Schizosaccharomyces pombe: one gene and its partners. Changing the gene in region 1 together with any one later gene gives a genetic interaction. Each region holds a gene or a part of one and is shown in the gene's direction. Other genes may lie near its edges. The genes, in order: klp3, knk1, SPOM_SPBC1348.07 and pfl9.

The links.
Region 2: mutations in klp3 (region 1) and knk1 together harm fitness more than expected from each alone (negative genetic interaction), as found in Schizosaccharomyces pombe (one large-scale study listed by BioGRID).
Region 3: mutations in klp3 (region 1) and SPOM_SPBC1348.07 together harm fitness less than expected from each alone (positive genetic interaction), as found in Schizosaccharomyces pombe (one large-scale study listed by BioGRID).
Region 4: mutations in klp3 (region 1) and pfl9 together harm fitness more than expected from each alone (negative genetic interaction), as found in Schizosaccharomyces pombe (one large-scale study listed by BioGRID).

Annotation. Positions count from the first base shown.
Region 1 is NC_003424.3:4,704,362-4,711,178, forward strand, and holds klp3 (kinesin-like protein Klp3), read left to right. Parts: upstream 1-2,416; 5' UTR 2,417-2,553; coding exon 2,554-2,664; exon of another isoform or gene 2,665-2,717; coding exon 2,718-2,817; exon of another isoform or gene 2,818-3,025; coding exon 3,026-3,099; exon of another isoform or gene 3,100-3,144; coding exon 3,145-3,298; exon of another isoform or gene 3,299-3,371; coding exon 3,372-4,597; 3' UTR 4,598-4,891; downstream 4,892-6,817. Other genes in the region: mo25 family protein Pmo25, read right to left, coding at 429-863, 949-1,401, 1,457-1,558; phosphorelay sensor kinase Mak1, read left to right, coding at 5,609-5,677, 5,778-6,817. UniProt on the Schizosaccharomyces pombe protein: Cytoplasmic motor that could play a role in Golgi membrane recycling.
Region 2 is NC_003423.3:678,494-685,837, reverse strand, and holds knk1 (AAA family ATPase), read left to right. Parts: upstream 1-3,171; 5' UTR 3,172-3,211; coding exon 3,212-4,567; intron 4,568-4,599; exon of another isoform or gene 4,600-4,615; coding exon 4,616-5,024; intron 5,025-5,071; coding exon 5,072-5,289; 3' UTR 5,290-5,935; downstream 5,936-7,344. Other genes in the region: decaprenyl diphosphate synthase subunit Dps1, read right to left, coding at 478-639, 721-1,695; AP-1 adaptor complex beta subunit Apl2, read left to right, coding at 6,204-7,344.
Region 3 is NC_003423.3:17,455-22,626, forward strand, and holds SPOM_SPBC1348.07 (uncharacterized protein), read left to right. Parts: upstream 1-2,186; coding exon 2,187-2,604; intron 2,605-2,654; coding exon 2,655-2,929; 3' UTR 2,930-3,152; downstream 3,153-5,172. Other genes in the region: SPOM_SPBC1348.08C (glycoprotein), read right to left, coding at 4,825-5,172.
Region 4 is NC_003424.3:5,525,284-5,530,940, forward strand, and holds pfl9 (DIPSY family glycoprotein), read left to right. Parts: upstream 1-2,408; coding exon 2,409-3,389; 3' UTR 3,390-3,676; downstream 3,677-5,657. Other genes in the region: SPOM_SPAC186.02C (hydroxyacid dehydrogenase), read right to left, coding at 4,679-5,657. UniProt on the Schizosaccharomyces pombe protein: May be involved in agglutination during conjugation or other aspects of colony formation. Induces flocculation when overexpressed.

The DNA of each region.
Region 1 (6,817 bases):
ATTACTAAAAATTGTAAAAGTCTTTGCAAGCATATGTCCAAAGCTTTAAATTCTCTAAGAAGAAAGAAAAGGCTGTGGAAACTCAATTACATAGAAAAAATGCGAAGTTATTTTACATTTGATTTTCCAATTTGTCAGATATTTAATTAATAATTAGTGTCAAATAATCTATCTAAACGGTTGACTTGGCGATGTCAGACAATCTTAGGAAGTCTTAGTACATGAAATAATAAAGTTCTTTTATTCATGGAATCGGTTAGCAATTAACCTAATGCTAATATCTAAAGCATCCGTATCTCATGCATCAAATATTTCAACTCGCATATATCATTTAATAAATCTAATCTACAATTTTTTTTCCTTTGTAAATATAGGATGGACAACAGCATGATTTTGAAAGACATGAGCACATTGGTGAGTAACAAGAGTCATAAGCGTTCAATCTGTTTTATTACAAATGCGCGTTCATCATTAAACTGCTCATCATTTTTCCGGTCAGTATGAAAAGCTGACAAGTAAGAAATCAACTTTGATTTGTTCCTCCTTAATATTTCGATTACTTCTTCCGACTTTTCAGGATTAGCAACAAACAATTTAAAAACATGAAAAGCTTCAAATTGAATGTTTTTACTCTTATCTCTCAGCAGAATCATCATTAGTTTCAGATTCTCAGCAGAACTAATATAGCGTGTCATGACTGAACGGTTAGCACGATTAAGAAGAATTTCCCCTAAAAGCTTTAAAGATTGACGTTTGGTAACATAATTTTCAGATTTCAAAAGGACAGTGTATTGCTTAAAAAACTCGTCAAAATGGTATGAAATAAACTCAGCAACTTGGGATTTATGATTAAGAAGAATAGACTGATTAAAGTTAGTAAATGCAAAACTAGCGGGAGTATATAAAAACATTGCAACGACAGAAGTTTTATTTGGGGATAATACGTACCTTAAAAGTCGAAAACGCATCACTCGCCATATCAAAACTAGAGGCTTGTATCAAACTAAAAAATGTCCAAAAATCTCGTGAGTTTAAAAGTACCTCATTAAGGGCTTCATGACGGGAACACTCACGAAGGATAGAACCAGCAGTAAAAGCTACTTCCTGGTATCGATAGTATGAGACCAATACTGGAAAGATTTGCGGGTGCGCAAGCATGTAGTCAACAGTGGGATATCTCGATGCTACATGCCTCCTAAGTAAAGCGCTAAATATTAGTCCTGTATCCTTTTTAGACTCAAACTCCAATTTCGGTAAATATCGAACGAGTAAAAAAGGTAAATTCGACTGGTAAATTTGAAAAGATAAGTCTGATACGAGATCAGCATCAGGCTCTACTTCAGCTGTCCCACACAATGAAACCCGTAAATTCTGTAAACATTTGGAAACTTCCTCAAAGGACTGTTTACGTTAGTCATCTAAACGAACAAAAACAACAATTACTAATAATTAATACCTTCTTTTTATCATTGTTTATTTCCAACTTTGGGAGATTATCACATAAGCAGCGAACAACATCTTGGGTTGATTTTGGTCGTTTATTGAACAGAAACGACATGCGGAATTATGGAATTCGGTTTCTCTAAAAACTTATGGCATATGACAGGGTAAGTAAAGTGGGTGCCAGGCGATGGTCCACAGTGGGGGTCTATTTTCATATTCAGTTGAATACTATTAAGGTACACTTCTTGAGTATTCAAATTACCTTTACTTATACCTGAAGTGATACCAATGTGGGGGTTGTTACATCTCGATTATACATAAGTAATCAAGTATTGAAACGCAGGTGCATTTAGATGATAGCAAGTGTACTAAGTAGATCTATTTATGAATTATGCATTTTCCATACCTTTTTCTCTTCGGTAAATGAATTGGTAGGTTGGTATAGCTAGTAGAAATACAAAGTAGTAAAACAAACGTTTTTTAATGCTAATGTTTGAAATAGTATCTGGGATAAACTTGTAAATTGCAAATACATCCAAATCTCCATATAAACTTCACAATTTAAAAAAATTATTTAATTTAAAAAAAAAAATAAATAAATACCTGCGAGGTTTCTCGTTCTTACCATTTAATCAAATTTTCATAAATAAATATGTGAGAAATTGCAATCCAATTTTCGTCACAGATATTAATCAGACGAAGGGTAAAATACTCTGCTTAAAATATGAATCAAGATTGAACAATCTTAAGAATTTTATACATGTGTAAATCTTCAAATAATATCAGGAAAAAAAGAATATGTAGAAGGAAGTAAACAATTTTAGCCTGTTGATTTGTAAATTTATTTTTTTTAATTCACACTTCGAGCTTTAACATTAAACAATTATGTAGTTAATTACATGATATTATTCTGTTTTTGATACGTTGCCTTAAACAACAATTATTGTAGAGGCACCATGTTAGGTTAACCTCGTCTTTCCCTGTATATGAAATTAGCCCGCTCACATATTGTCTTTAATGATTTTTTTGGATGTATGGATCTAATTTATATACTGCGTTTTAATCATACATTATTTGATTTTTTATCTTTTTATAAAGCAGTTTTACTCAATGACTTCAATTAAAGTAGTGTGCCGAATTCGGCCCACGAACCAGTTGGAACAAGACCTTGGAGGAAATAATGTGATATACCCATTAAACGATTCTACTGTTCATATCGAGGTAGGTTTCAACAATTGATCTTTACTTTAGAATTCGGCTGACATGATTAAAAGACTAGTGATTACTCAGGAAACTTTGTATTCGATCGTGTTTTTCATCCTTCTAGCACTCAGAATGATATATTTTCGTATTCAATTGAATCGACAGTCGATGGTATGTGAATGATAGTAAAACTTTACACGGCGTTGAACGGATTAATTTCATCGTTGTCAGCAACAGCTTGTATGAAATTATAGCATAGCCTTTTTTTATATGCGCTCGTTTTGACGCTTCATTTGAAACGAATTGCCATTTTAATACATTGTTCGAATCACATTCAAGTTGTTCTGAATTTCATTAAATATGTACTAATATATTATAGACTTATTCTTGGGTTATAACGGAACAGTACTAGCCTATGGACAGACAGGATCCGGCAAAACATACACCATGATGGTATATTCACAATTTCACCTGGCACACTTTTCTAACAATCTTTAGGGTATTGAAAATAATTTCGAAAAAGAAGGAATGACTCCAAGAATGCTCAGGCGTATTTTTGACAAAATCCGCGATTCACCATCTACTACTGAATACGAAGTGAAGGTATCATACATGGAAATCTACATGGAAAAAATTCATGATCTACTTTCCGGTAAGCCTTCAAATGCCGTAGAAATTTTGCGACGTTCGTATTTAATTTCAGCAAAATTAACCATGATTTACAGAAAAAAATGACAGACTGACGGTTCATGAAGATAAACTTCAGGGAGTTTATGTTCAAGGTTTAAAAACGATTTACGTATCAAGTGAAACGGAGGCATTGGATATTTTAAATAAAGGTATGGGGTCACGTGCCGTTGCAAGTACGTCGATGAATGCGCAAAGTTCACGGTCTCATTCTATTTTTGTACTCGAAGTTGTCCAAACGGACACTGAGTCCGGCGAAACTCGACGAGGCCGGTTGTTTTTAGTTGACTTGGCAGGTTCCGAAAGCGTAGGAAAAAGTGGAGCAGTCGGGCAAACCTTAGAAGAAGCAAAGAAAATAAACCGTTCTCTTTCAACTCTTGGAATGGTTATTAATTCTCTCACAGACAGCAAATTATCACATGTTCCTTATAGAGATTCCAAGTTAACGCGTATTTTAAAAGAGTCTCTTGGTGGAAATTCTCGGACCACTCTAATTATTAACTGTTCACCAGATTCATACAATGCAACAGAGACCTTATCTACTCTTAGGTTTGGACATCGTGCAAAGAGCATCAAAAACAAAGCGGTAGTAAACTCAGAACTTTCTGTTGATGAAATGAAAAGACAGCTGTATATTTATAAAGATGCTTTGTCTCGTTGCGTTTGTGGAGCCAGAATTAACAATAACTTAGACTATAATAATTGTCATTCTAACGTATGGTCAGGCGAGCATTCCCTCACACTGTCAAATCTCGCCGAAAAATCCAACTTAAAGGAAGCAGAAATCATTCAAGGAAATAGAACAATTCAGGAAAGTAATAATGACAGAGACGAAAGCACAGTTGCTTCGATACACAGACATAACTTTGATTCTGATTCTATCAATCGTTTGTATGCTGAAGCACAACTTGAACTTAAACAACGAGATGGTGTTTTATCATCCACTAAACAGCAATTGTCAGACCTTATGACTGCATTGGGCGATGCTCAGGAGCGGTATGTTGAGCTTGTTAAAAACCACAGAGTAAATTCAAATCTTACTGCAAACAACTCATTAAATGACAAACCGGGTTTTACAATAGAACAGAAAGATAAAAATTTTTCGATAAATAACGAGAGAAACAATTTTTTACAAAAACTGAGTACTTTGGATTCCTCACTGGCTGCTCTAGTAAATGTTCAACGAAAATTGATTAAAGCTTTAATTTCCAAAGAGCGACCTCAAAATGGAACAGTAATTAAGAAAATTCAAGGGGGCACTTAAAAGCTACACTTTTTTACTCTGCTTTGCGAAGGATTATATATGTTTAATTAATTTCTTTAGAGTTGTTGAGCTCACATTTAATCATGAAATATTGCATCTCGTCTAGCTGCTTTCTGAATAAACTAATTTTCTGACTAATTATTTATGCAGCTTCTTTTATATTGCTGCAGCATTATAATATAAAAGAAAACAGCTACGCAGCAATGCATTGTTTATATGCTTATTCAGCAAATGTGTAACATCTCAAATGATGATGTAATAACAATTCAATAAAAATTTACCGTTATAATATAATCAGCGAATTTAGTAATCTGAGACTACTATTCTTTAGCAAGGATTGACTATTGGCTAAGCAATCATTACCTTTTTTAAGCTACAACGAACTGTAGTTTAAGTGTTACTTGCGATGTATATAATCTTATGTAGGATGTTTATCGTAGATGGTAAAATGTTGTATCAATATAATTATGATATTGAATACACTAACATAACCACACATATATGGCTTATAACTGAAGTCAGGAAAGAAGGTTTGAATGTATCAACATAATGCATTGTTATAAAACTACTAGTATAGAAGATTTACACTAAGGATGGAAATACGGAGAATCATGAATATTATGAAAAGTTGAACTAACGCAGCACAGTATAGTGTAGTGACTTGTTTCTAACAGAACGATCATATTTACTAGCCACCAATCTTCGCTAAACAACATTTACGCGATCTTCAATATCCATTTACATTTTGCTAACACAACTTGTTGAGTTGTTTCATTTCCCTATTTCGAACACTTTTTACCAATCTTCAGTGCTGTAAAGTCGCTAGGAAAAAAGCGTTTTAAATGGTACGCTTATAATTTCCATTGCTGGTTGCCGTGGTCAAATAACTCAAATACATCAGTTTTTTATTTGAAACGATCTTTATAAGATAGCACTTTCTTTTTGGTAATTACAGTTGGAAACTTTGTTTTATTTAGTATCTATACTGGCCTGTAAATTTAGTCTAAAAAAATGAGGCCACCTGACGATCAAATCAACAATAACGTTGGTTCTAATTCTCACTTGGAAAAGTTGAAAGAGGTAAGTGATTTCAATACTTGGATTCTCCTTTTTTAAATATGAAATAAAATGTGATATCTCTTGTTACTTAATTAATTTAAATTACTAACGTTTGAATAAGGCCATGGACCACCAGCTGCAAAAATCATCAAAAATTGTAGGATCGTTTACTAATTCTCAAAACTCTTCTGTTGGCTCTGTTCATTCTCCGATACTTGAATCTCCCACCAGTTTAAATAGGCAGCATCGAAATTCATTTTCTTTCAATAATGTATCTTCTCCTTCACTAGAGGATGAGCGACTTATTAATTTTCCCCGAGTAAATCCAAATCGATTGATGACATCCAAACGTCCCAATGAGTTATTTAAAACCTCCTCAATGAGTTCAGATTGCTATTCTCCTCAAAAATCTAGGGAATCACTAAATTCATTATGCCATTCACCTGCTCCATCCGTTTCTTCTTGTGGAAATGCTTTGAACAACGATAATACTTCTGCTTCGCACTCACTAACTGATGAGCAACCATTTGAAACAGATTCATCCGCTAACTTATTTAAGCAGTTACAGGAGAAGCGTAACCGTACCATTGGAAATGTGTATGAAATGGCTTGCTTATTGGTCTTTAAAACCGGTTTGATGAATTTCTGGAAAAACATTATTGACTTTTTCGCTCAGCAGTTTTTTTCCACTCAAATATCTGTTGTAGAACCGCGTGACCTTTCTGACATATACAATACTCCTTGGCAACTCAGATGTTATTACGATGGCGGTTCCCATTATGATCCGTATAGTAACCCTATAAGTGTTAATGACAACCTTGCTAGCAGTTCTTATGTTACCGTAGTTGCTTCGGATGGTTCAAAGGGTATTATATACAAAGATCCAGCTTCTCTTAAACATGAAGGGGATTTGCTTATTGATAGCAAAGTTGTACAAACAGTCTTGGAGCGTGCGACATTGCTTGTATATACACGTAAACAACAGCACATTGTTAAAAACACCAAGGTTCATGATAATGATTACTTTAGTTCTATACCTAATGTTGATGATATTCGCAGCATTAAGAATTCATGGAAAGTTTTTCATGATGAAAAACTTAATGAATTGAAAAAGCAGGTTGAAATTAGTGCTTCTGCAGCTCAGTTAAATGGACTTTATCC
Region 2 (7,344 bases), on another chromosome or scaffold:
AAAAAGTATTACCATAGTTATGCAGCCTTTTTCACCAGATATAAGTAATGGACAAACTTACATGATAGTTGTTATAACGTAAACAGAAAATTGGAGCCAAAATCAGCATCTGACATTTGAGCAGCGAGATCACAAAGACTATAACACTAGTCAAGAATAGTTATTACGAAGTGCTTGGTTTATTTATTGAAGTCCAATTTTTATAGACAGTATCATTAGTGGCTTGCAATGTCGTTATAAAATCATTGCATTCGTTGGCAGTTGTCGTTCACTTTGTAATAACCTGAAATCATTTATGGAAGAAAAACCAATCAAGGCAGCGCATATTAGTAATATTTTCACTGCTCTATTAAGAGCGGTAATTCAACTCGGTCTACCAAAGTCGTATATATAATTAAACCTAATTGTTTTAAATTTTTCGAGAATAAGAAAAAGAGGCCTTTATCTAATAGTTAAAGATGCAGCGTACTAAACTCGTCACTTCTTTCTCGTTATTACTTTATCAGCCAACGCAAAAAGTGCCTTCCTTGCAGGTGAATCAGGGAGACACAGAAGGGAATCTTTGGCTTTTTTGATATATTCTTTTGCCCAAGTGATGGTTTGCTCGATAGCATCAGTGCACTCAACCAAAGAACGAGCCTAAATTATATGTTAGCAATTGAAAATTAACGATAGAGAAAAGGAAATCAAATAAATAAATAAAACTTCAGCTTCTCTTACCCGTTGGATATCAGAAGGATGATTGAATCTATTCACAATCATTGCACCAAGTTCTGGATACTTTTTCCATGCAAAGAGGACGGGAGCTGTAGCCAACCCTAGCTTCAAATCTGCACCAGCCGCCTTTCCTAAAGTATCATCTTTCGACGTATAGTCCAACACGTCATCCATTAGTTGAAAAGCAGTACCAATGCATCGACCGTATTCTCCAGCAGCTGTTGCTACAGTAGGAGAACATTGTCCGAGGATTGTAGAAGCCTTGCAGCTTTTGGAAATTAAACTGGCTGTTTTCAAAAAACTTTTTTCAATATAATAGTCAAAATTTGATTGTTTTATTTCCAAAGATGAAGGATCCATAGTATTTTTTAGCTGCAAAAACTCACCTCGAACCAAGTCTGCTATCACTGTAGCTAACAACTCCGTAACTTGGGGATTTCGAAGGCGGGCCATAGCAGTCGAAGCCCGTGCAAGGATGAAATTACCCGCAAGGATTGACCGTCGATTACCGAAAGCAACATTGCTTGAAGGTGAGCCTCTACGGACATTAGCGTGATCAATCACATCGTCATGCAGCAAACTTGCTATATGGATCATCTCGGTTATTTGTGCTAATCTCAATTGAGAAGGAAGAATTTGACCCGTCGAAAATGATCTTAAATCATCATCATCAATATATTTGTCGCCCACTACGGACCGATCAATACCATGGCACAAGCTTGTAGCTTTGGACATCAGCAAAACAAGAGAAGGACGCATTTGTTTTCCTTGAGCAATGGTATAATATTTAGAACACTCTTCAAGAAATTCTGAATTTGAATTCAGCATTTGACGAATCCCTGGTGAGATTTGTTCCAACTCGTTTTTAATTAAATGTGAAGCATTGCGGTTCGTAGTAGAAAACCGAAGAACAGTCGAACGGACTTTTCCAAGACTCCATAATTTCCTCATATGTTTTAAATATACATACTGAATCATTTCATTTCTTATTTTCAAAAGTAACTAAATGATGAAGTTAGAGTTGGGATGGTTTGTATATCATGGTATTTACCGTGATTTCGCTTAGATATGACGTCGCTTTGATCAGATAAGTTTATTTCAAAGAACGGAAGAATCATTAAATAGTTTGTAAACAAACAAAACATTTTTTAATTATCGTTTTTTCTTCATACCATTCTGATCTTAAGTATTTTTTCTGAAGAATTCTGTTGAGTCAAGCAGGATATTGAGCATCTTCCTCAGAGGCCAAATTCATTATCAAAACTTACAACAGCTTATACATCAAATCAGTTAACAATAAAATTCACAGATCTATTTGCATATGCATCTCTCCCGTGTATCATTTTTTATACGACACAATAATCAAAACAATTTATACTTCCAAATTGCTTCAATATTCGATGGGAGAAGTGCTACTTGGTTGAATACTCAAAAGCAGAATATTTAGATAAGTAAATGAATCTTATACTACAACTAATTTTTTTTTGGCGAAGTTAATATAACAGCTTCAGGGAATCCTCTATATGTGTTGATCTTCCAAGAGTTTCTCATCTTACTTGAACAATTATTGGTTCTAGGAATTTACGAATACATTGTTGATATTTTTTAGGTATTTTAATAGCTTTGTAACACTGCTTTAACAACATAAACATTTCTAAATGGTTTGACATGCGTGAAATTTTAATTGATCAGAAATTGCTTAAAAGCATTTTTACAAGTTTTAGTATTTGTAGGATCATTTAATAAAAATAAATTACGTACTTTTCTAGTCTACAAAACGATTCGCCTGCTAAGATTATTGTCATTGTAGTACAAAACGTTACATTCATATTTGTTTTATCACATTTTGACTTTTGAAGGCTTTTAACGATTAGGCGCCCGACTTTTTTCACCATTCACTTCAAGAATTTAAAAAATAAAAAATTTATCAACATTAAGTGCCATCCCGTTCCTTTCAGACATAGCTGATCTGTTTACATCTCCCGGGCCTCAAGTATTCTTAAAAAAAGCTCTATTTGAGCGTTAAGTTCAACTAGAGAAATTTTTTTTAGAATTTGTAGGTATATCAAAAGATACTTAAATTTTCGCAAATTTGTTCTCATCGAAAACCGCTTGGCTTCTGTTTTTCAGCCAGTCGAAGGCGCTCGATTTTAAAGTGCTCTCTAATCCACACTACTAGCATAGCGATGAAATGATTAATATCGTTAATAATACGTTTTTTGTTGTAAACAAATTTCCGGATTTGCGAATTAGCGGGAAAAAAAAAAGAGTGTGAAAGAAAGATATTTACTCATCTATTGAATCTATGAATAAAATGATTTTCTCCAATACGAATTCCTTATCAAATAGCTTTTGAAGAGATGAAAGAAAACCAGTGGCTGAAAAGTAACAGCGTTACTTCGAACATTCTATGGGATTTTTAACGACAAGACAGCACTTTTGACATTTGAACTTGCCAAAAGCAAAAAAGCCATTGACGAGTCGACTGCGGAAAATGGACTCAGACTTGGATAGAATACTACCGATAGCATCAAGAGCATTATTGTGTGAAGGAAATAGGGATTGGGCTGGTGCGTATGTGAGTTACTGCAAGGTTTTAGAGGAGATGAAGAAGTCGTCGGCAGCTCGCGATCGCATGGGATTGGGACCTTTGACGGGCGCAGAGGCATGTTCTTGGAACGGGCTCTATGACAACTGTTTGAGCAAGGCAAGCAAGCTGCGTAAGACGATTTTGGAAAGTGAAATGGAAAGGCAAAATTATCAACTTGCAGCCAAACTTTCAAAGAAGGCGCCCGTTGATCTTCACCCCTTACGTCCAGTAAGATCTCAAACACCTGCGTATACCCCCATGACTACTAGGATGATGTACAGACAGACGAGAGGTGCGCAGTCGGAGGTAAATTTATCTACGCCTAAGCAAATATATTCCAAGCATTCGCCTCCTTCTACCTCCACTTCATCCATTGTTTCTTCTTCCTATGGAGATGCACCTTCTTATCTGGCACCCTCTAAGCCAAACCGTTCTCCACCCCTCAAACCCGAAGATCCCTTTGCCTCTTTCAATTCTTCTGCTTCGGCCATTGCTGCTGCTTCTAAGAGTGCTGCCGCTTCTGCTTCTGCTCTTTCTTCTGATACAGGTCGTTCTGCTACCATGAATTCCACCACTTTTCCTACCGCTATGAAAAGTCAGTCTACGACTAAACCGACGCTTTCCAATTCGGTATCTAGCCCTTCTATTCAGGTGTCAAACAATCAAAATGCTAACAATAGCACTCCCCTCTCCTTCCATGCGCCAATTCCTCCACTCCATGTTCCTGCCGTCCCCCTTACGTCTGCATCGCATTCATCCAGCGATGGAAAATCGCGCAAGCATCCTAGCCCATATAAACCATACTTAAACTCTTCTCATGATACCCTTGGTTCTTCCACTCGACCGTCTTCCGCTGACACAGCCGGATCACCTGCTACATCTCCTCCGGCAACCGCTGATTCTAAGACAATTGTGTCAAAAACTATCTCAGCTAGTACTACTCAACAAACTGAACCTCTTCAACAGACCACTCCTTCAAGTGATTTTGAATATGCTATTATGAATGAAATTATTTCTAACCATGAACCTGTCTACTGGTCGGACATTGCCGGATTAGATGACGCTAAAAATTCCTTGAAAGAGGCAGTCATTTATCCGTTTTTACGCCCGGAACTTTTCCAAGGATTGCGTGAACCCGTACAAGGCATGCTTCTTTTTGGCCCCCCTGGCACCGGCAAAACCATGCTTGCTCGTGCTGTTGCGACCGAAGCGAAAGCCACATTTTTTTCGATTTCGGCTTCATCATTAACCTCGAAATATGTAAGCAAGTTTTATATTTAACCCCATTCTTAACTAACCTTGATTTAGCTTGGTGATTCTGAAAAGTTGGTTCGAGCCCTTTTTGAAGTTGCGAAGCGCCAGACATGTAGCGTTATCTTTGTTGATGAAATTGATTCCATTCTTTCCGCTCGTAATGACAGCGGTAATGAGCACGAGAGCTCTCGTAGATTAAAAACAGAATTTTTAATTCAATGGTCTTCGTTAACTAATGCGGCTCCGGACAAGCAAACTGGTCACTCTCCCCGTGTTTTGGTGCTGGCAGCTACAAATCTTCCGTGGTGTATTGATGAGGCTGCTCGACGCCGATTCGTTAAAAGAACCTATATTCCGTTACCTGAAAAAGAAACAAGATATAAACATCTTTCTCATTTGCTTCATAATCAAGTACACTGTTTGACGGAGGAGGATCTGGAAGAACTTGTCAATCTTACCGAAGGTATGTATATAAATAATTCGATTGGTTAGTTAACTAACGCCATCTAGGTTATTCAGGCTCTGATATCACTGCTTTAGCCAAAGACGCAGCAATGGGTCCTTTAAGAAACTTGGGTGATGCTCTACTTACCACCAGTGCAGAGATGATACCTCCGATCAGCTTGAATCATTTTAAAGCTAGCCTTCGTACTATTCGTCCAAGTGTCTCACAAGAGGGTATTCATCGTTACGAAGAGTGGAATAAACAATTTGGTTCGCAACGTTAAAACAACTTTGTAGAGTATTCTACCTTTAATATTTTCAAGAAATCATATATTCTTTTGCATCAAAAAGGCAGGGTATCCTTTAATTTATTCAAACTTCCTTTCTCTCTTTTTAATTTTATCCTTTAATGTTTCTTAACGAATCATTTGGGTATCGTTTTTCTGGATATTATGAGAATTACCGTGCATTTAGGGATTGAATCGTGGATGCTGATTTTCATGTGGTTTCAATAACTTTCTTTTGCATAAACTTGGCTTATTACGAATTTTAATTTCTGTTTACCTTCATTTTATTTTCGTCTTTCCTACAACAACTAAAATGTATTCGTGATTTGACTATCGCTATAAACGACATTTTAAATCATAGCCGACTTGACAGCGCCTTTTACAAATGCTCCCCTTTTGTATTTTCCATCAATTCTCTTTATTTTATTTTTTCCATTTATCGTCATATTTATTTCGTTTACATACAGCCTCAACCTATTGGGCTACTTTTTTTCCCTTCACTATTCTCCAATTTTGAACAATAATTATTAGTTATTTAATGTTTGGAAAAGGGTATTGCTTTACTTGAATCGCATTTTTACGGCAATTAACTTATAGCTTTTATTGAAATAACATTTCAACCTCTTGTTTGTATACTGAATTAAATGTTTTAAAATTTATTTAAAGGTCATAATAGTAGCGTTTAAAGCATTGCAGGTTGAAAATGAAATCATGAATATATAGAAATTGGATTTCAGTATTCGATATTGTCACCTTTGTTACTTCTGGGAGTGGGTGTTTCTCACCGAATGGGTTTGACTTGACATGATTATTGAACCACTGCTTTATATATGTAAACGTGTTTTTGACCTTAGGACGTTTACCACCTTTAAAAGAGCTACATAAAGAGCGGAATTATACAATAGTACCGAATGGTTCCAAAGTTGTTTCAATCGAGCCGTTTTAAGGCATTTAAAAAAAGCGAAACAAGTGAATTACAAAAGGGACTAGTTTCTCAGTATGCCTACGAGAGAATTGATGCTGTGAAACGGACTATTGCCGCAATGACTGTTGGCAAGGATGTGTCTAGTCTGTTTCCCGATGTTTTAAAGAACCTAGCTACTCGCGATATCACCTTGAAAAAACTGGTTTATTTATATCTAATTAACTATGCCAAAACACACCCTGATCTTTGTATTTTAGCCGTTAATACTTTTGTAAAGGATTCTGAGGAATATAATCCTACTTTACGAGCTCTGGCAATTAGAACTATGGGTTGCATTCGGGTAAATAAAATCATTGGCTATTTGGCAGATCCGTTGCGAAAAGCTTTGAAGGATGAGCATCCCTATGTTCGTAAGGCTGCAGCGGTTTGTGTTGTAAAGATGTATGACCTTGATCGAGAATACTGTGCATCAAATGGTTTCATCGAACAATTGCAGGCGTTGGTATCTGATCCGAATCCTGTGGTTGTGGCTAATGCAGTCCGCTCACTTGCTGAAATTCATGATCAGGACCCTGAAAAGGGATATTTTAATGTAGTTTACACGATGACAGACAGGCTAATGGTTGCTTTGAGTGAGTGTAATGAGTGGGGTCGGATTACTATTTTGAATTCTTTAGCTAGATTTCGCACTTCTGATATCAAGGAAGCTGAATATGTTTGTGAAAGGGTGGTTCCTCAATTCCAACATGCAAATAGTGGTGTCGTTTTGTCCGCTGTGAAAGTCATAATGGTACATATCCCTCTCTTTTCCAGTGACTTTACAGACTTTCTGTACAAAAAAATGGCTCCTCCTCTTTTGACGCTACTTTCTACGGACTCAGAAATCCAGTATGTAGCCTTACGGAACATTAATTTAATATTACAAAAGAGGCCTTCTATTTTTGATGTCAAAACTCGGGTTTTTTTCTGCAAATATAATGATCCTCTTTATATTAAAATGGAGAAACTAAAGATAATTACAATGCTTGCATGTGACGAAAACATTAACGAGACCATTTCCGAGCTTCGAGCGTACGTTTCCGAAGTTGAACTAGAATTTGTGAAACAAACGATTAAATGCCTTGGAG
Region 3 (5,172 bases), on another chromosome or scaffold:
GAAAGCGAAGCAATTCTTATACTACTCGTCTTTAACGAGTTGCATATATACCGCCCTATTTTTTTGCAGTTTCCTTTAAAAAATCTCATTAGAATGTTTCAATGCATACTTAATAAATCAATTTTATCAAATGCTTTGTTGTGAATATATTCTTAAAACTCATTCATTTCTTGTAAAGAAATCTTTCTTTATATGAAATTTGAAATATTCGAAATTTCATCTTTATAACTAGGTATTTCTCAATACTTTTACATAAATTAAGAAGGGAAAAAATTTGGGTTTCCTTTTTAAATCAGTTAGAGGCGAAACCTCTAACGCTTTTCATGGCTTCGTGTTAAATGTGTAATTATTTTTAAGAAGAAATACACACAATTAACAGATGTTGCATAACATTACTTTAGATTTGAATTTCACCTCTTAGATATCATCCATTCACATGTCAAGTAGGTGCAGTTTGTGGTTAACATATATTATTACATCTGTATTTAACAAAGTCTAGAGCAAAGAAGATATTTTCAAAATGCTGGAAGGAGAAATTTAGAATGTATGACTTACCTTGTGAAACCCTAGTATATTACGTTTTCGTAGTAAAACTAGTGGCAGGTGAAATTTTAGAGTAGTTTGTTGACGAATGTTTGTTTCAATTTTATCGCTTAAAAATTAAATTTGTTTTAGATTCATCTATTTTCATTATAATTTTTCTTTTTTGTAACATTATTCAAGTAAGGTTATGTGTATCAAAACAATAACTTCTGACTAACTACTCGAATAACAACCAAGTATTCCACTATGATTTTTAATGATGAGCCAATATTCAAGATTGATATAATTTCCAAGAGATGTTTACAAATTCCAGTTTATAATTCCCTTACGCTTTTCTTCCTCTGTATCTCTTGAAAGCCCGTTCTACTGCATTTGCTAAAAATGCAATAAATGTATGAAAGTTAAACTCAATAATCAAAGTCTTTATGTAGTATTACAGTTATGAATTATTGCGACATTTCATCTTCAGCCTTACTCAAAATCTGAAGGATTCAACATATGGCAATTTATTTGTTTTTATCATGGGAAGCACTAACGATGAAAACATCAATAGACCATAAATCATCATTTCTATATGAAAATGTAATATAATTTCTAATACAGGAATTCCTTCTTATACATTTATTTGTAACATTGCTTCATGCTTTTTTCCCTTTCATTTTCAGTTTTCTTTTGTTCCCAAATCCCAGAGCCATAATTTAAAGAAAATATGAACTGGCTAAGCGGAACCAAAGTTTTCAGTACAATTGATCTAAAAGAGTTAGTCCGATGTATAGACTTAGTCGTTGATTCCTATTCTTTACTTTTTCGCAAGAGAATAAAATTTAGGTAGCGAACGATGTTGTAATTACATACGAATATAAATTTTTCAACGAGATTTTTTTTTATTTTTATTTTTATTTTTACAATTTTAACACAAACAAATCTATAGTCTTCCATTTCTTTTTATTTACTTTCGCAAATACTCACACCTTAAACATGATTTTTCGTGTCAACTATACTTAACTATATGCTTTATAATGCTGCTACGTAGTTAGGTTGTTCATGTTTATAGCTATTGTATGCGTACGATGTTTTCAACTATTATTTTATAAAATCAGCATACTATAGATCGAGTTTGATTGTACTACCATACATTATTATCATTATCAATGTGTCGTTAATAATCCTGTATACTTGCAACCGTGATGATGAACAATCCAACATAATTATTTACACACAAATCATAAGAACATGATTTTCATTGCAATTTATGGTATCCTTAACACTATTTACAGACTTTGAAGGGAACCGTATATTAATGCAAACTAAACCAACTTCGTTATATAGGAATTGCGATAAAAAAAGTTTGTAAGTATTACAAGATATTCACATCATAATGTTTTTCCCAAATAAATGAAACATCTCAGAACGTAAAACATTCACCAATTTTGATCTTTTTTTAATTCTTTCGTTTATGGCTTTAAAATGTTTTATTATATTTTCTTATTATCTTCCATAAACCACACTGTTTAATTTTACATTGTAAAACATTACTAGTGGTGCTAAAGCTATCAAATTGCAGTGCTGTGGTTTTATTCCAATGTCAAATCCAGAAAGCGCAAAAAAACAGGTTGACCCCCCCTGGTTACAATGAGTTATTTATGGTAAGAGATACTCGTAATGTGGACCTGGAGCGGGGACTTGAATTGTGTAAGCCTGAAAAGGTAAACAAACAAAATCTCTTTACCAACATCGTCAAGCCTCAAAAAGATAAAATAAACATTAAGACAGATAAAATAAAGTTCTTTTTAAATAACCTTTTTACTGAATTTTCTAAATTTCATGATAGTTGTTATCCTGATGGTAGGATTTCTACCCGCAGTAAACTTCGTTGGCCCTTGCTTATTATTTGGTGTATTTTGATTGTTTTCGCAATAGACAAGAACTTTGAAGTCAAAGATTTTCTTTCAATTTGGATAAATGAAAGTTTTATAAATGAAAATCGGTTTTACAGTGAAATTTGGGGGCCTATTGCTATTTACATTTGTTTGTTTATTTTATTGTTGCTTGGTTTAATTTGTATGTTTCCTTTACAGTGATGCCTTTTTTTTACTAATAATTTAAAATAGACTGCTCCAAGATTGTTGTAAAAGCTATACCATTGATCAGTATAGTTATAGCAGCGGTCGTAGTAATTATCGCGGTGGCTATGGTTAAAATTTTATACATCTGCCATTGGCTGATCTACAAAATTTTAATTTTGGCTTTCGGCATAAAAGTTAAGCCATTGGGAGACACTCTTCCTACACATAATGGAGAAACAGGATCACATTCAAAGGCAACAGTTGGTTCTGACATTGAACAAATAGAATTTCAAAATATGCCCACTCCTGTGAAAAAATAATTTTCTTTATCGTTTTATGATCGAAAAGAATATAATCATCCTTACCAATATTTTACTGACTGTACCGTCCTAATCATGCACTAAAGGTGCGTCTGTTATGAATTTCAATTATGGAGTCAACCTAATTACGGTTTTTAATGAAGTATTATCACTTGATGTTACTAATGTTTTATCTTTCGTTTCAAGTTTAATCAAATACTATGAATGTCATTTACTGCGTCACAAAATGAATTCTTAATGATACATCATGAATGACTCGTTTTTAAAGTTATGTCTGAAAACTTGAAAAATGCAGCATATGGAAATTGTTAGATCGATTGATTCATTAGCTCAATAAATTCTTAAATTGCAAATTATATTCTGGCAGCAAAAAATCGAGTTATTCAGAGTCTTTCAAAAACTCTGTTTACGTATTGACATACACATTAGACTTAGCTTTTCAACAATATACTGCTGCTACAAAAAAATAATTTTCCTTTTTGGACCGGCTCGTTGCAGACGAAATTTTAATGTACTACCTCTTGACCTTAATCGTAAACGATAACTAAAAGGTATTTTTAGCTCGCCATATTCAATAACTGCCCTTTGAGCGTAATAAGTGAACAAAGGATTTAAGAATAACGATTTAAAATCTTTTTTAGTTTTGTTTTTGAAATAAAATAGTAATAAAATATTAATTGAAACTTAAACATCTAACATATTAGCTACTAATTCATCTTTTACTAAACTATAAGAAAAACTTTTGACTTTCAAAAACATATTTTTAATAGTTGTTGAATAAATGCTATTCAATTTACCTCGCCATTTTCCCAATAATTTTATGCGGTTGAAATCAATAAAATACATGCAAAGCTTCCTACATGTAAACTTATTATTATACTAAACGGGAAATCAAAAACAATAAATCGAGTTCAAGTTGACTTTCAAATATCACAAAACTCCATTTCATCCACTTTATTCCCAAATCAAACGATATACCCACCACGAGATCGCATTTGAGGTATTACTACTAGTTGACTAGGTGTAATGTTCAGCTGCATGTTCTTGCATCCATTGTGTCACATTCAATTCGGTTGGCAGGTATATACTATCGACTATAGTATTATTCGGTCCTATTGCAGATACATTCAAGGTGAAGTCACCTAATACTGGAGCACGGTCATAAAGTGTCCAAGTATCCGGAGATAATGAATTATCCCAATTAGCCAAAGCGTTTAGTGAGGCAATAGAAAAGGATATCAGTAAGTTTCATTTTGTAGAAGGTGATTAGAAATATTGTTGATGTGTTTAACAAAATGAGTAGTTTCGGCTGTATAAGGTTCACGTTAAGTCAATTTATAACATTGTATTCCACAAAAAAATAAAAAATAAGTGAGGCATTTTTGCACCTGGAAGTAGAAATCTATAACATATGATGCTTTTTGTACAACCCCTGGAATGTGTATTCCTTTGCGTAATACTACTTGCAGTACAGTAGAATTTTTAAGGTAGAGCAAGAGGAAGATGATGCTCGCTAAATGCTACTGAAAAAACGGGTGGGTTCATTTGATTTTCGAAGCGCAAAGATGCCCACTATACCTCGCTATTTATTGAACGAACATATATATATATATATATATAAACGGTTGCTAGTTTACAGAAATAAAATTATTTTCAGTAACCCATGATATGTGTTGCGTTAAAATAACAAAAATTAAAAAATTAAAAAATTAAATACTAGCCAACCCTATATTAAGAAAATGTATATATATTGCAGATCATTTGTATCATCTCAGCAAATAACTTACGGTCCCACACACCTTAAATCTGAATGCATTCTTGACCTTTGACATATTAGAAATCCGATTCGTAGCTCAAGTACCGATTTAATTATTTTCTGAAATTTTCAAACAATTTTACGACAATTTTTCCGTTGGCCCGTTTACACCGCCATTACCTTGACCAAATGGTAAGAATTGTTGAGTGCATGTTTTCGTGTAAGAATAAGAGGTAGTAGCAAGTGGACCCGTTGAATCAGAAGTAAAGTAAAAATCAAATCCACCGATATATGCTCCATTTGCTACAACAAATCTAACGGGCAAAAAGTAGCCTTCAGGATAATTGCCTACAGTGAAATTTCCCATGCCCACAGTTCCTAAACCCATATTAGGCGACTCATGCCAATAAGAATACGCATCAAAGTTATTATTGGACCAACCAGAAATAGCTTTATCACCAAACCAACCAAAGAAAACATCATCTAC
Region 4 (5,657 bases), 820 kb from region 1:
GTATTTCAGGCCGATTTAAGTAAGTTTTTAATAGTGTCAAACCAAGTTTGCTCACCCGAGGGTGTTCTGTGGGAATCTGCTTTGTTTTTTAATAGATTATATAGTTTGGTTTGTAAGGGTTTATGAACGCTAAACAATATACCGTTTGTACCTAGCGGGTAGGTATCACACGCCGTTCCCGTGGGTCCAGATGACAGAAGTGACGGGACTGCTAAATATAGCGGATCGTTTTTTAACGATGAACCTTTTTCTTATCCGAATTTCGAGCTAAACAGCTAGGTATTAGGATTTAGTGAAGTTTCAATCTTTGGACGTACTTTAACGGGAACACAATTGAATTATGGATTACAGTGGGATACTTAAGTTCAAGCTTTGAGAAAACGAGGAAAGGCGTTAATCCTTTGTATTGACAATAAGAAGTGATGCTCAAGAAATAAGTTTTAATGCTAAGTTGATTGAACTGGTCAATTAATATTTGATAAATTTTTTCAATCTTATTGTAATTTGATGCATTAAGGTTCGTATAAACAGCTTTTCGATAGTTTGTGAAATAAAATGCAGAAGTACTCAGTAGTCTGTTACAGAATTTATGTTTTTGGTGTTATTTGAAGACAAAACCTTAATGGATTCGTTTTATACCTGTAAATATACTATCCAATTCTATCAAACGTACTTAAAAACAAATACCGATTCATAGAATTTGTTACGATGAAATATTTCTAATAATAGTATACTAATTGCAAATAATTTACCAGGTCCAAAGTCATTGATCTGGACTATATTGACATTCCAAATATTAATAGTATGTCTTAGCGTATATAAAAATTAAGAAGACTTCAACGCTAAGTATGGATTCAGCTCTTTATTTTGTTATAAAAAAATAACTCAATGCTAAACAATAAAATAGCCGAGCAGTTTTCAATTAAGAATTGTCTAGCGAAATTTCATTAAACAACCTAAATCATATGGAGTTTTTTTCTTTTTTGATATTTGGCTCAGGCAAAGAAGAAAAGTTAAGAGTGGTATTTCTTAATAAATTAATGTCTCAAAAAAGGAATAAATTTTTTTTTTAAAATGCTAAATTTTAAACGTCCTCAGTTGCATAGATGAACTTTAAATGATAAGCGAACGAAATGCAATCGATAAATCATTGTCTCTTAGTAAAGTGTTCGGTTAAAATGACTGACATTTCGTCCGAAATAATATCAGTGTAAATATCATGGGAAAATTTCGTGTATTTCTTTATTTGGAATGCGCAGCAAAGTATCAAGAGAATAATTAGTGTTTTATATGATTTAATTTTATTGCCGGTACAATTGTATGGTTGTTCTGATAAATATACATGCTTTGTCGGTTTATCACTCTGAATAAATTTGTGATATATATTGGTTTATTTATTCAATCTATGTATCATGTAGTTGATGCTTTCATTTTTTTCATAATTTTAAAAATATCAGTTAATCATTTATTCAGCAACTGTAACGTTAAATCATTAATATATATATCTATATCGGCATGCATTAAGTTGCTACCGTTAAACATCTTAATTAAAACTAGTCTTTTATAATAACTAACTCTTTAATTTTTTGAAATTAGTTCAATTTACTGTGGAGGGCAGTCGATTGATAAAAGCTTTTCGATTCACTTGTAGCTTTAATCGGTGCTCGTTGCATCAATATTGGTTTATATAAGCCAAAGCTTTCATGGCTATTAATGAGTGATGCCGGTTTAACTACTCTAAAATGTTTTGAAAATGATAGGTATGTTTTGATTTGCTTCATCTTTTTATTTCAGTATTAACAACCTAGTAATTAAAATGTTAACAAAAAAATTTGACTACCTTTTCGAATCACATGTTTTCAGTGCTAAGTTGCCTCCAGACTGTCTGCAGTGAGTATAGGTGTTTTATAAGAAATTTGCTACATAGTATCAAATCAATAATATGAATGTAGTTTTATCAAAAAAATATTCATTAAGGCGACTGTACTGAAAGAGAAGTAGGTTAATAATAGACTCTTAAGAAAATTAACGAGAGGCGTCAATTTCTGTTGCTAGCATATATTGCGAACTCGATCGGTATGTGAATTACTACGAAAACATGCGAGCCGCGTTAACAAATGTGCATTGCCTTGTCTTAAAGTAACTAAGTTTCTCAGAAGCAGTATAAATAGTAGACTACATTAATTTCGAAGTTCCGATAATGATCTTTTTATAGAACTCAAATTTTTTAATTTGATATTGAGAATTCGAATAAAAATAACTATGGGATTAACAATAAGGGGGTTTCCGAAATTTTGGGTACTGGTTTTATATGCGCAGTTTTTGTATAAATGAACAGGCCTTCTCACACGTCTTTTCGGTTCATATTTAGCGATCAGAAGTCGTTAAAAATTTTTCTCCTATAAACAATGAATGTGGTGAAGTACATAATTTTTAGCTTTGCTCTGGCGCCTTTGTTATTAGTTAACGCGAACACATATAATTTTACACAGATACAAAAGCGAAGCGTAAACCAAGCTGTTCTTGAATCAAGTCAAGATACCAATTCAGTAGGCGGTGAAGCTTCTTCAACAGCTTGCCCTTTATTCACTACTATTTACACTAATGGTATAACACCGGGAACTACAACGATTTATCCAACATCTATCTCGACATCTGGCGTATCTAGCAACAATATCGATGAAACTTCGGTATCCTCTGAGTCTATCATCACATCCACTATTACGACTACTATAACATCTGGTTCGCAACTCTATACTACTACCATTACCGGTCAAAACACACCTGTTGATACCGTTGAAGTGGTAATCCCTACTGCTGGTACTTTCACAACTACATTGACTTCTGGATCCAGTTATCCTGTCGCAACAACTACAGTGCGAACAGCTTCTGGAACACAGTCAGGTGAAGTGGAGGTTATCACACCGTCCTGTGGATGCAGTCCTGAAAATTCATTCCATCTTAAAATAGACAATGATAAAATCAGCCCTTCCTACGTGTACATGGATCCAAACGCACCCGTGAGAACTAATGGTGCCGGTCGAGAGGGGAATATGTTTGCTTCAACTAATGGAGACAACGAGGGACTAAACCTTTTCTACTATGATTCCACTATTCAACGAGTATTAACATGTGATTGTCAAAGACCGTCTTACACTGTATACATTGAAGATCCAATTATAGGCAATGGTTTTTCAAGTGCTTGGAATCTCATTAAAAATAGCGATGGCATATTTACTCCTGTTGAATCAAGAAATAATGAGCCACTACACTTTCATGTAGATAACAATGGAAGAGTATGGATGACTTCACAAGAATATGATACAGAAGTTTCATCAACCGACGAAAGAAATTTTAGGGCCAATGATGTTACACTTCAACTGTATTAGTTGAAGCAGCAAATTTAGAATTGCACATACTCTCGTTTAATTTTTTGTATTTCAGGTCATACATATAATTTTTTTTACATTCATTTGATATAATATTTTAAAATTACAATCCATGAAATCCTTTATCAATCCCTATTGAAGATGTCAAGAAGTTGACTTCCTCGGATTTCATATTTTTCTCAAGTTCTGCTGTAAACTGAAAATAGGGATATTTAAATAGTTCTTAATTATTTTTTCCACTAGAAATTGATTGCTCTACTAATAAAATACTGTTCCAAGTTATCGGCACAATTATTACTTTCGTAAACAAAATTTGTATTTTATTTATTTTTTTTTTTTTTAAATTAATCATAACTAGTGGTATTAGGAATGCATATTTTAATCTAAGTTCAAATTAATTGCTTTCATAGTAATCATTGATATTTGTTAAATAACTAGGTTTAGGTAAACCGTACTAAAATTGAACAGGAAAGGATAAATTTTAGTAAATTTTGTAGATTATGCTTTTCGTAAAAAATAGTGGTGGCCGGTTTTAAAGATAAGTTTGGATAAACTGGTTATAATTTCCTTAAGTGAAATTTAATCACTTAAAAAAATATTAGATCTAAATAGTAACTATAGACAAGTTTTGTATAAGGAAAATGACAATTAAAGATAAGGAGCTAGACTAGTCTAGCGCTTGTTTTGAGTTTAATATTAGACCATTCAGAATTTTTTTACTCATTATTACTAAAAAAGAAAACTTAAGCAAGAATTTAAATTGTGGAAAGTCTCTTTTACTTATTAATAATTGTAAGCAATAAGGATAAGAAAATCAAAACAGTTTTTTTTAAAAATGTTTCTAAATTTAAAAAAAAATCTAAACCATATGCTGCGTTGCCTGTAAATAGTGTATCTAGGTCGGATGAGATTATTGTTTTCAACTTTATTTCTTCGTTTTGTAAGAAATGAACTATATTGTTGTAGAAATAGAATAACGTTACTAATCTCTTGAATATGGGTTAAAAAACAAAATTCACAATAATTAGAAAATTTTTTACCTTTTTATAGTTTTACCCAATTATTTACTAAAAATTATTGTAGCAACTATTTTAAATAGTAAATGGTGGATTTTCTATCAAGCAGTAGGTAAATTATTGCAGCATAATACTGAACAAAAGTTTTCATTTCATTTTCAAGTACTCACGAAATTTTTATTGAATTGAAAGAAAACTATTTTGTATATGAAAGGCGCTAAAAAATTATATCTTCATTATCACTTTTGATTCAAGAGACTAATACTAATTTGCTTATTTATTTGCGATTACTGATTCATCAAGACTATTAGTATAGAAATCGGACGCACTCTTCAATGTGGTATGTGCAATGGAACAGAGAGCTTCTGTAGTAAAAAACGCCTGATGTGAGGTAACCAAAACGTTTGGAAAATTAACAAGACGTTGAAACGTAGAATCCTTTATTACTTCGTTAGAAAGATCCTTATAAAATAAGTTTCTTTCACCTTCATATACATCTATTGCACAACCTCCGACTTGGCCGGAGTCGATGGCGTCAACCAACGCTTTCGTATCAATTAAACCTCCTCTACTAGTGTTCACAATTGTTACTCCCTTTTTCATTAAAGCTAGGGAGTCAGAATTCACAATGTGCGTTGTACTGGGCGTTAATGGGCAATGGAGGCATAAAAAGTCAGCCTTCTTTAAAACCTCATTTTGCTCAACAAATTGAACTCCATAGTTTTCTAACTTCTTATCCGGATTGATATCGTAAGCTAATACATCGCAACCAAAACCCATTTTAAAACATTTTGCAACATTACTCCCGATTTTCCCAGTACCAATCACTCCCACTGTTTTACCATGTATGTCACATCCAAGTAGTCCGACAATATTGAAGTCATCTTCACGCACCCGAACATAGGCACGATGAATTTTACGATTAAGAGACAAGAGTAAACCAACAGTGAATTCAGACACAGCAAAAGGCGAATAGGAGGGGACGTGCACAACAGTTATTTTATATTCGGACGCTGCCTTTAGATTAACGTTGTTGTACCCCCCACAACGAAGAGCGACCAACTTAACACCATTTTCTGCCAAAGCTTTTAAAGTATCAGCATCTACTTGGTCGTTCACAAACACACACACCACCTGTGCTTTGCCTGCCAAAGAAACTGTATCTTTGTTCAATGAAAAATTGTGATATATTATTTCATGGTTAAAAGTTTTGTTAGCTTCTTCAAAAGGCCCTCTATCGTATGATTGACTA